3 linked regions of the Stegostoma tigrinum genome follow. The main gene of each other region encodes a partner of the protein of the gene in region 2 in a complex. Links are inferred from orthologs where the notes say so. Each region holds a gene or a part of one and is shown on either strand. Other genes may lie near its edges.

The links. Proteins that work in one complex are often made in the same cells at the same time.
Region 1: the proteins of jarid2b (region 2) and eed are in contact, whole or in part, in a cryo-EM structure (PDB 6C23), measured with the Homo sapiens proteins. The link is inferred for Stegostoma tigrinum from reciprocal best matches to the Homo sapiens genes JARID2 and EED. Residues at the interface, in NP_004964.2 of Homo sapiens: Pro109, Gln114, Arg115, Lys116, Phe117; in NP_003788.2 of Homo sapiens: Pro95, Phe97, Tyr148, Arg306, Asn307, Tyr308, Cys324, Asp362, Ile363, Trp364, Tyr365, Arg414, Asp430.
Region 3: the proteins of jarid2b (region 2) and aebp2 are in contact, whole or in part, in a cryo-EM structure (PDB 8VNZ), measured with the Homo sapiens proteins. The link is inferred for Stegostoma tigrinum from reciprocal best matches to the Homo sapiens genes JARID2 and AEBP2. Residues at the interface, in NP_004964.2 of Homo sapiens: Ser148, Lys151, Pro152, Lys153, Thr154, Glu155, Asp156, Leu158, Thr159; in NP_001107648.1 of Homo sapiens: Arg407, Ala410, Ile411, Asn414, Leu415, Glu420, Ser421.

Annotation. Positions count from the first base shown.
Region 1 is NC_081359.1:53,542,587-53,546,186, reverse strand, and holds the start of eed (polycomb protein eed), read left to right. Parts: upstream 1-1,428; 5' UTR 1,429-1,531; coding exon 1,532-1,624; intron 1,625-3,600. UniProt on the Homo sapiens protein: Polycomb group (PcG) protein. Component of the PRC2/EED-EZH2 complex, which methylates 'Lys-9' and 'Lys-27' of histone H3, leading to transcriptional repression of the affected target gene.
Region 2 is NC_081355.1:36,933,793-36,937,392, reverse strand, and holds the start of jarid2b (protein Jumonji), read right to left. Parts: upstream 2,219-3,600; 5' UTR 2,098-2,218; intron 2,092-2,097; exon of another isoform or gene 1,813-2,091; 5' UTR 1,696-1,812; coding exon 1,651-1,695; intron 1-1,650.
Region 3 is NC_081378.1:44,628,035-44,631,634, forward strand, and holds the start of aebp2 (zinc finger protein AEBP2), read left to right. Parts: upstream 1-1,138; 5' UTR 1,139-1,167; coding exon 1,168-1,646; intron 1,647-3,600. UniProt on the Homo sapiens protein: Acts as an accessory subunit for the core Polycomb repressive complex 2 (PRC2), which mediates histone H3K27 (H3K27me3) trimethylation on chromatin leading to transcriptional repression of the affected target gene.

The DNA of each region.
Region 1 (3,600 bases), on a different chromosome or scaffold from region 2:
ATTTCAAGCCCACTGACTCCCACAGCTACCAAGAATACGCCTCCTCCCACCCACCCTCCTGCAAAAATTCCATCCCCTATTCCCAATTCCTCCGCCTCCACCGCATCTGCTCCCAGGATGAGGCATTCCACTCCTGCACATCAGAGATATCCACGTTCTTCAAGGACCGCAACCTTCCCTGCGCTGTGGTCGAGAACGCCATTGACCGCGTCTCCCACACTTCCCGGAACACATCCCTCACACCCCGCCCCCGCCACAACTGCCCCAAGAGGATCTCCCTCGTTCTCACATACCACCCCACCAACCTCTGGATACAACGCATCATCCTCCGACATTTCCGCCATTTACAATCCGACCCCACCACCCAAGCTATTTTTCCATCCCCACCCTTGTCTGCCTTCCGGAGAGACCGCTCTCTCCGCGACTCCCTTATCCGCTCCACACTCCCCTCCAACCCCACCACACCCGGCACCTTCCCCTGCAACCGCAGGAAGTGCTACAGTTGCCCCCACACCTCCTCCCTCACCCCTATCCCAGGCCCCAAGATGCCCTTCCATATCAAGCAGATGTTCACCTGCACATCTGCCAATGTGGTATATTGTAGCCATTGCACCCGGTGTGGCTTCCTCTACAATGGGGAAACCAAGCGGAGGCTTGGGGACCGCTTTGCAGAACACCTCAGCTCGGTTTGCAACAAACAACTGCACCTCCCAGTCGCGAACCATTTCAACTCCCCTTCCCATTCCTCAGGCGACATGTCCATCATGGGCCTCCTGCAGTGCCACAATGATGCCACCCGAAGGTTGAAGGTACAGCAACTCATATTCCACTTGGGAACCCTGCAGCCCAATGGTATCAATGTGGACTTCACAAGCTTCAAAATCTCCCCTTCCCCCACTGCATCCCAAAACCAGCCCAGTTCTTCCCCTTCCCCCACTGCATCACACAACCAGCCCAGCCTGTCTCTGCTTCCCTAACCTGTTCTTGCTCTCACCCATCCCTTCCTCCCACCCCATGCCGCACCTCCATTTCCTACCTACCACGTCATCCCGCCTCCTTGACCTGTCCATCTTCCCTGGACTGACCTATCCCCTCTTCACCTGTACTCTACCTATCTTGTTTTCTCTCCATTTTCGGTCCGCCTCCCCCTCTCTCCCTATTTATTCCAGTTCCCTCTCCCCATCCCCCTTTTCTGATGAACGGTCTCGGCCCGAAACGTCAGCTTTTGTGCTCCTGAGATGCTGCTTGGCCTGCTGTGTTCATCCAGCTCCACACTTTGTTATCTTGGATTCTCCAGCATCTGCAGTTCCCATTATCACAGGCCAAAGAACCCGACATCATCACGTGAGCTTTGTGCTGCTCACAGAACTGAAACAACCTTAGATAACATTGCTTTTCCAGAAGGTCGGGATAACATTCGAAAACAAGAAAGGCCATCCTCGACGTTCACGTAATCGGATGGGTTTTGTTTTGCGACAGTCGGTAGCGCGCACGTGACTTTGTGACAACGCCAGGCTCCGCTTTGCGGATAATGTCGGAAAGTGCGGCGCGAGGGGACATGCCGACTAAGAGACAGAAATTGAGCGATGAGAACAGTAACCCGGACGTTTCCGGGGATGAAAATGTGAGTGTAGTTAACGGAAAGGTCGCTGCAGCTGTGACCATTTTCTTGTATGCTCCCCTCTGCATCCTCATCTTCGGTAGGGATGAGGAGCAGCCTCCGATGCGGCGGGAAGAACATGGAGAGTGGCAGTCTTTCGTCGGAGCCACGGTGTTGGCTTTCATCCAATCTTGATTAGCGTGACCGGGTTTAGCCTGGTGTGGCGGTGAGTGTTTGGGAGGGTGGGCGGGATTTAAACCCGGACTCACCATAGGTTCTGGGGAGCTGGAATGGACGACGCACCGACATCCCAATAACAAATGGTTGTTATTAGATAGGTCTCTGAGTATCAGGCTCAGTTTTTATATACCTTGCATTCTGATTAGTGGTAACGTGTTGTGGCTTCTAGAGTTGCCCCTACTTGCTATGAACATGTTGTTTCTGCAAACTATTGTAACCAGAATTAGCTTGGCCCAACTTGTTGAACTTGGGTTTTCTTGCTGCATGCGCTTTGACATGGCTACATACTAAGTTGGAAATTTGCTGAGCTGTGGGAAGTTGATGAATTTGGTTATTGCAATGTGATTCTTCGTTGGAGCTAAAATGCAGCTGGAAGAGGGATTATATCACTGACTCTAACTCATTTGGAGTGTCCTGCAGCAGCACTGCTCTGTTGTTGTCTGGGAAGAGTGTTTAAAAATGACATGAGGGCAAGAAGAAGTAGCTGATTGGATGAATATTTATGCTGTTCTTTATCGTTGTTTATAATATATTGACTTTAGTTTGTAAAGGTAATGGTGCAAATGTCCAAAGCAGAAAGGCTTGAGAGTAATTAATATTATTTGCTTTTAAGGGAAACCTAAGGGTTTAATTTTTAGAGGTGTGGCGATAAGCTCAGGCTTGAGGTTATAATGGGGAACCAAGAGATGGTGGATCAATTTAACACCACTTTTTGATAACAATGTGGAGCTGGATGCACACAGCAGGCCAGGCAGCATCAGAGGAGCAGGAATGTTAACGTTTCATGTTAGGACCCTTCTTCAGAAATGTTAGCTTTCCTGCTCCTCTGATGCAGCCTGGCCTGCTGTGTGCGTCCAGCTGCACACTTTGTAATCTCTGATTCTAGCATCTGCAGTTCTTAGTATCTCTCTCACTTTTTCATTCTGTGATTACAAAGAATACAAAATAATCCCCCAAAAAATGTTGGGGAAAACAGGGTGTAGTGAGGAGGGACCAATTGACAGAAATCGCTATTAATAGGTGTTGGGGATATTGAAGAGATTGAAGGCTGATAAATCCTAGGCCACAGTAATCTACATCACAGCATTCGTAAGGTTGTGACCCGAGACGTAGTGGATGCATTGGTCATCTTTCGGAATTCCATAGACTGTGGATTAGTTTCTGTGGATTAGAAAGTAGCTAATATAACCACACTTTTTTAAAAGAAAAGTGGTAGCGAGAAATTGGGGAATTATAGACCTCTCAGCATGACTTCAATAGTTCAGGAATACTAATTAGAGTCCACTATAATGATATAGCAGAACATTCAGAAACCAGTCAGTGTGGATTTACAAAAGGGAAGTTGTGCTTGATAAATCTACTGCAATTATGTAAGGATGTAACTTGTAGAGTTGATAACGGGGAGCCAGTGTTATGTGGTTTACTTAGACTTTCAGAAAGCTTTCAGTAAGGTCATAGAATCTTTACGGTATGGAAAGAGGCATTTTGGCCCATTGAGTCTGCACTCACCCACGAAAGAGCATCCTACCCTTGCCCTATGCCAGTAAGCCCGTATTTACCATGGCTAATCCACCTAGCCTGTATGTCCTAGATTCTACAGGGCAATTTAGCATGGTTGATTCACCTAACAACATGTCTGTCTTTGGACTGTGGGAGGAAACCAGACCACACAGCAGAAACCTGCACAGACGCGGCGACAATGTGTAAACTCCATCTAGACAGTCGCTGAAGGCTGGTATTGAACCCGGGTCCTGGCTCTG
Region 2 (3,600 bases):
ACAGCCTTCGGTCTACACGCAAAACAAAAACTTTCCACGCTCTTTTACCCCCTCCCCTTTTCTTTTGTTCTAAAGCTTGTTAACCAACGTTCAGTGCAAGAGAGACAAAAACATCGCAGAGGTTGCTTTTTAAATCCTAGCCTTTTTTCTGCCTCGTCCCCCCCGAATAAACTTAAGCGAAGGCATCTCTGCAATGCGTCGGGTGTTTTTAAAATACATTCTAGTTTGTGTGCGTTTTTGTTGTTGTTTCCGTGATGCCACATGCATGTTGACGGTCGCTTTCTTACCGATTCAGCAATTTGACAAGTTACATACGGACAATGGAGTGTCAGGGAGGGTCCGAACTGAAGGAGCGATAATTTTCTTTTTTGGCGGGTTGTGTGGAGCGGGGTCGGTGGGGGTGGGGGGTTGGATTAATATCTGGTGAAGCGTGTGGAACTGATCGAAGTCACTGCAATCTTTAAAGGAATCGAGGTGTGGGGAACGTGTCACCTTCCCTGTTTAAACACTACCGTCTGTCGGAGTCAGAGGTCACCGCAAATGCAAAAAAAAACTCATGGCAGAGAATGAAAAGAAACCTTTCTGATCTAAATTGTAATGAAGCTTTTCAAACATCTGCAATCTCTCCACTTCTCCATTACCTAAAGGGTCTGAATAATTCACATCCACCGACTGCAGACAGTAACCCTTTCTTTAATGGTGGTGGGGGGGGCGAAGAGAAGGTGGCAGAAATGAGAATGGAAACATTGCCACAACATTGCAGCGTGACCATGTGGCAAACAACAATAAAAAAAGGAACTAACTAATCTAAAACCTCCACCCCCCTCCCCAACAACTTGCTGTTAAAATCCCAAATAAAACTGAATAGAAGCTTCGAGCTACGGTGAGAAATGGTGGAACTGTAGTCCAGATTTGGGGGGGGGGGAGGAATGTTGAGAAAGAAACCTGCTTGGAAATTAAGAGTTCAACAACAAGGCAACGCAGGTTGCCATTAATTCCAGCAGAACCAAACGGTGGCGACAGAAAGATCCAAAATGGGGGGGGGGGAGAAAGCGCCCGGGGGGGGGGGGGAGAGAAAAAAGCGCCGGGGGGGGGGGAGAAAAAAGCGCCGGGGGGGGGGGAGAAAAAAGCGCCGGGGGGGGGGGAAAGAGAGAAAAAAGCGCCGGGGGGGGGGAAGAGAGAAAAAAGCGCCGGGGGGGGGGGCGAAGAGAGCGCAGACATCCTGCAGAGGAGCAAGAGCCTGGCGTCGCTGGATCACCAGGCGAACAAACGATTCAAATATTGGTTGGGGAAACATGATCGCTTCGCTTCGCTTTCCTCCTCAGAATCAGCTTTACAAATACAACAAATAGGCCTGATCAACAATCACTAAAATAATTAGATGTGATCGGGCAAGGGACGGGCCGGACTGTCACCGAAACACTTCCCCATAAGCAGCTACATAAAGAGATAATCTATTAAAATAAATCAATCATTGTCCATACAACTGGGGAAATAAAACGAGAACCGTACAATGGGGATACCTTACAGCATTACCGGCCAAAAATCATAAACAAAAAAAAGTGCCTCGCGCTAACAAGGGCATAATGTTGAAGCCTAACGACCTCCTTCAGGGAAAAACGATCTTTTAAAACTTCTAAAGTCACTTACTAATCTTTTGTGAATTATATTCCTCTTGGGTCTTTCTCTGGTCATCCTGTTGTCCCAATTTTCTTTGCGAAGAAGAGAAAATTCCACATGAATCAATCTCGTCAATGTGGATAAGCCCTGGCTGGTCTATATTTACAAAGCTCCCTCTCCGTGCTTGCTCTCCTTTTGATTAAATCCGAAGTTGGGAAGAAGGAAAAAATAAATAATTCACTTCAATAAAACATCTCTTTTTCTTAAAGGCTTGTCGACACCAGGCACATTTACTGTTCCCGAGCAACACGAAGAGGACAAAGTAAAAAATAAGCTACGTATGGTGAAGTTACATCTTGGATAAGAAAAAAAAACATGGGGGAAGAGAGAGAGAAGGGGAATAAAATAATGTAGTCACGTTCTGTGCAGAGACAGACGAGAGTCTCAAACACACACACAACTCAAGCTCATACTCACACTCCCACCAATCACATCCCTTTAACTTTAAATGGCTACGTTAGGACGCTCCTGGCCACGCACACTCAGTATAGCCCCTGTCGGAGAGCTCATGAGCTGCAATATTGCCTGGGACTTCCCTTTTACCGTCTCCGTCATTCTCTGTGCTCCTCTCTCTCTCTCTCTCTCGAATCGTGTCCTTCAATGCCACGCTCACTCACTCTCCTTCCACAGTGCCCTCTGTGCAAACACAAAACACACAAATTACATTCGCATAGTGCCTTTCACAATCTTAACAATTTGCAAACAATGAAGTGCTCTTTTGAAGTGAAGTCACTGCTGTAATGCAGGAAACGCAACAAAAACAAGCTCTAGCCAGCAAGGTCCCACGGATGTGAGAATGATCAGAGAATTTTTTTGCCGGTTGAGGGATAAATATTTTTAGAAATACCCCTACTCTTCATCAGACCAGTACTATGAAACTTTGTATTTTTGTTTGCATTCACCAGAAACTCAGACATACTGTTACAGGGAACAAAGCATAAATCAGCAATTAACCCTTAGAGCTGGAACAATGAATTGCTGAACGTCGTCTTAAGCTGTACTGCCATCAATAAAAATCTGAATCACTGAATTACTTCTCACTCACAGTCGTAGTGGTACAATATGACAGAGGTTTCAATTTAATTTCTTGTCAAAAAGATAGTGAGGTTACCAAGAAGAATTATCCTTCTCAACCTCTCCCCTCACGTGAAGCATGGTGACCCTCAAGTTAAACCACCACCAGTCATCTCTCTGTAACGAGAGAGCAGCCCTATGGGCTGGTAGGACTATGGCAACATGACTTCGCCACCCTCAGTGATGCACTGACTTGTCAGTTTTGATTTTTGTCCTCAAGTCTCTGGAGTGGGACTTCAAAGTATAATTTTCTAACTCAGAGGTAATGACTGCTGTCACTGATCCACAGCTGGCACCTGTAACATCAACAGAAGTTAATGGAAAAGCTCATCAGATCTGGCACCATCTGTGAATGAAAAAAAGAGTTAATGTTTTGGGTCTGCTGACCCTTCCTCAGAACCGGAACCAAAACATTAACTCTGTTTTTCCTTCACAGATGCTGCCAGACCTGCTGAGCTTTTCCAGCAACTTCTGTTTTTCTTCCTGATTTACAGCATCCGCAGTTCTTTTGGTTTTTACCTGTAACATCAGTATGGATTACGTAAAAATGTTCATATGTGCATCCAACCTATCCTAGTTTCACACTGATGATGGAGACCTTGCCTCCCACCAGAGTAAAACAGAAAACAGTGCAACAGGATTTAAATACAAGATTCCAGTGTGAAAACAAGAAATTTAGGTTATCCCATCCTGATGGAAGCAGAAGATCACTGAGGATCCATTGCAGGTTAGTCAGCATGTGCAAAGGAGAGGACAAGTTAATGTTTCACATTGTATTGCTTGCATCAACAAACAAATACATTCAGTTTATGATTATTAGTTTCATTGAACTCAGGTACAATGTGA
Region 3 (3,600 bases), on a different chromosome or scaffold from region 2:
TTATCAGGGCTAGGTGGAAATTTGGGTTTGAGGTTACCATCAGATGCACAATGACCTTGTTGAATGGCAGAGCAGGCTTGAGAGACTACATCACCTACTCTAGGTCCTTGTTGGAATGAAACATCAAATATAACAATGACCAGAATTTATTTCTTCTAATGTTAGTTGCACAGACAAGCAAGAGACCAGACCATTGGCACTGTACCTGGAAGGGATACAACACAGATATGTGCACACATAGACATATAGTGTTTAAACTTTAACTGACACACACGAAGGGAATGTTTGAAAAATTCAACAGGCCTATTAACATCTATGGAGACAGAAACAAAGTTGACATTTCCAGTCTAGTAAGATTCTTCTTCAGACAGCTTAAACTTTAGCTGTTTTCCAAACACTGCAGAGCTCTTCCCAACTTGCCGATGTTCATAGTTCTGTTTTTCTATACAGAAAAACAAAAATCAAGGACTGTGGATGCTGGAAATCAGAAACAGAAACTGAAATTTCTGGAAAGACTCAGCAGGTCTAGTACTATCTGTGGAGAGAAAACAAAGTGAACGTGAACAACCCCCAAGGCTTGGTGAATTTTGCTTCACGTTGATGGCAACAGCCGACATCGAAGGAGCAAAACGCCACTTCTGCCGCGACAAGCCAGTCAATCATCGCTGTGGTAACTTTCTGACACCTGCTGCTGAAAACCCAAGAGGTCAGAAGGGTCTGGAGGCTGTGCTTTCACGGCCTGCATTCGGACTGAAAACGATCATTAGGTTAGCTTCTGCGCCATGGGACGTTTCTGTCACTTATTAGCTCGCCTTAAGACACCTGCGCGACGGTGTGACACTCTACCTTCACTCCATAGACCTCTGAGATTTTGCAGCAATTTCTATTCGTACCCACAATTTGGATATTGCAGTTGTAGCCCACACACAGTAAACACCTCCCACCTCATCCCTGCGAATCCACGAGCGGCACAAACGGTCGACTACCGCCCCGCCCATAATCATCACGCAGGCGCGCTGTTGCCTGTTTGCCCCATCCCCACGCGCGCACTGCGCAGGCGCATAGAGTCAGATTCGCACCCACCCCGTCGCTCACGGCCCCGCCCCCTCCTACTGAGCAGGCGCGCTGGTGGCACGTGACCGTCCGGGCTGGAGCCGCGCGGGGGAAATGGCCGCAGCCGCCGCTCCGTCCCTCAGCGCCATCGCTAACGACACTCAGAGTCAGGTGGCGGTGGTGGCAGCAGGGGGGACTGGTAAGAGCTGCCGCTCGGAAGCCAAGTGCGGCGGTGTTGGTAACGCCGGCATTGGTAGTAGCCGTTCCCAGGCCGTTTTGAGGCAGCAACAGCAACAACAACTCCGGCAGCGGCGGGACGAGGAGGAGAGTGAGCCCGAGGCTGGCGGCCCGCAAGCTTCAGGCTCCCCAAGTGGACACAGGGCCACGGGGGCTTCCAACTCCGGGCCGTCCCGCAACCTTCCTCAACAGCAGCAACAAGCGGCCAAAAGCTGCACCGGGGCCCTCAGGTGCGGCCAGCAGCAACAACGGGGCCGGGAGGAGGCGGCGGCCGCTGTGGCAGCTGGTAACAGGAGGCAGAGTCTGGAGAACTCGTCAGACGGGGAACCACTGAGCCGCATGGACTCAGAGGACAGGTGAGGGAGCGGGGGTTAGGCACTCTCCGGTCTTACCCCGGGGCTCAAGCTTCTCAGACGAAGCTGCAGTGGAGACCTTTCTTCTCTTATCTACCGTCTCCCTTCCAGCCGTCGGGCGATTCAGACTCTTCCCCACCCCCTCGCTCTTGCCCTTCTGCTGTCCCGTACTCTGCTGAAAGAACCGAAATAGCTGTCCCCGATTCAAAAGCGTTCCTTTTTTTGTCTCCCCAGCTCTTGAATTCAATTGCCGAAAAGTATTCGTTCTTTCAAACTAATGCCCTTTTGTCGGAAAGGGTACTTGTAGGTTTTGTTGTTGGGGGAGAGTATAAAATAAAATAGAAAACATACTCTTAGCCCTGCTTTTTATCGGAGTTTTTGGGGTAGCGGAGGTGGTGGCGGCAGTGTTCTGTGAAATTTACACGACGCCTTCTCGGGAGTTTTGAGGTGTTCTCATCTTTGTTATGAGATGGCGCTTTCCGAGTTAAAAAAAAAACACCTGGAAAAGCCCAACTCTGTGTAACCGTAACCTCAGTTGACTTGGTCATACCGATGACTTTTAATGTCGGCCATTCAGTAAGCAAAAGATTAGTCATAGTCCAGAATAAATCATACGTGCCCTCATTGTGTTTGTTTCAAATCCCCACGCAGATGTGATTTATGCATCGGCCTTTTAAGCTACAGCTTTTGCCGTAACATCGTGTCAGGTTCGTAGAAATGCAAAGCAGTGATTACTAGCGATACGTTTGTCTTTTAATAGGGCAGATCTCGCCTTTAAAATAGTGTTTTCGCGCAGCTGACACTTTGGATCCGAGTTACTGATATTCAGCGTCGCGTTTTAAATATGAAAAGTTGACTCTGTCAGCTTCGCTCATTTGGTAAACTTGGATCTGACTCAAGGTCGTGGGCTCAAACCCCACACCAGTAATTAAGCATGTAATCTAAGGTGACACATCAGTGGGAAAGCTGTATTGTCAAAACTGATCGCATTCAGATGATGTGAATTAAGGCATAAAAGATCTGGAACTCTGAAGAGGAGTGACTTCACCCAGTTTCTAAGCAATGATCCCTCCTTCCTCTGATAACCGCATGAGCTCATAAACAAATTAAAAACTAATTTGATGAATAGTTAATCTACATATGAGCGTTTCAAATTAATCTGACCGTGAAGTACTTGGGGATGTCCTGAGAAGGTTGGTGCCGTCCAGGGGAATGTTCAGATGAATTAAACTGATTTCAAAGCTGTTGGTTGTCCTTGGAACTTGATAAAGCATTAGTATCAATTCTGTTCATAAATCGTTGTAACTTGATCCAAAGTAAGAGCAGATCATTCTTGTTACGGCACAATGTAAGTAAAACGTAATTGTAGATTGTAATTTCTGTGGTGTAGGTAAATGTACAAAGTTGTGCTTTTGCCATCTTATGAGCAAAAATTGACCATTCTGGGAGGAACTTAATGACTTCTTTCAGGCTGACAGACTGATATCATAAATTTTGAAATATATTTAAATTATTGCATTGTTATATAAGCAGATATATATTTTGTTTCCAGATCTCTCATGGTAGGAGTAATTCTTCAGATTTGTTTGCATTTTAAAGGCTGATTGCAATAAAATTAAACTGTCCAAAATTACCAGTAGTGATTAGTTTACGTTGTTGCAATCAAAAATCAAGCTACAATCGATTTAATATTAGTAAAGAAGTCAGTGAATTTATCAGGTGACAGATGACAAAATGTGTATTTAGCAGCACTGTTTATTCATGGCAATTTGTGGTATAGTTGTATGTATTTTGAAATAAATTATATTAGGTATATTTTCATGTTACTTGTTGATCTTGTACATCACGCTGCTGAATCTCTACAACTGCCTAAACAGGTAAAATGCTGTTCGAGAGAATTTTTACACCAGCATTTATGTCTTGGTTTAATTTGAATGTGACATGAGCTTTGAAATAA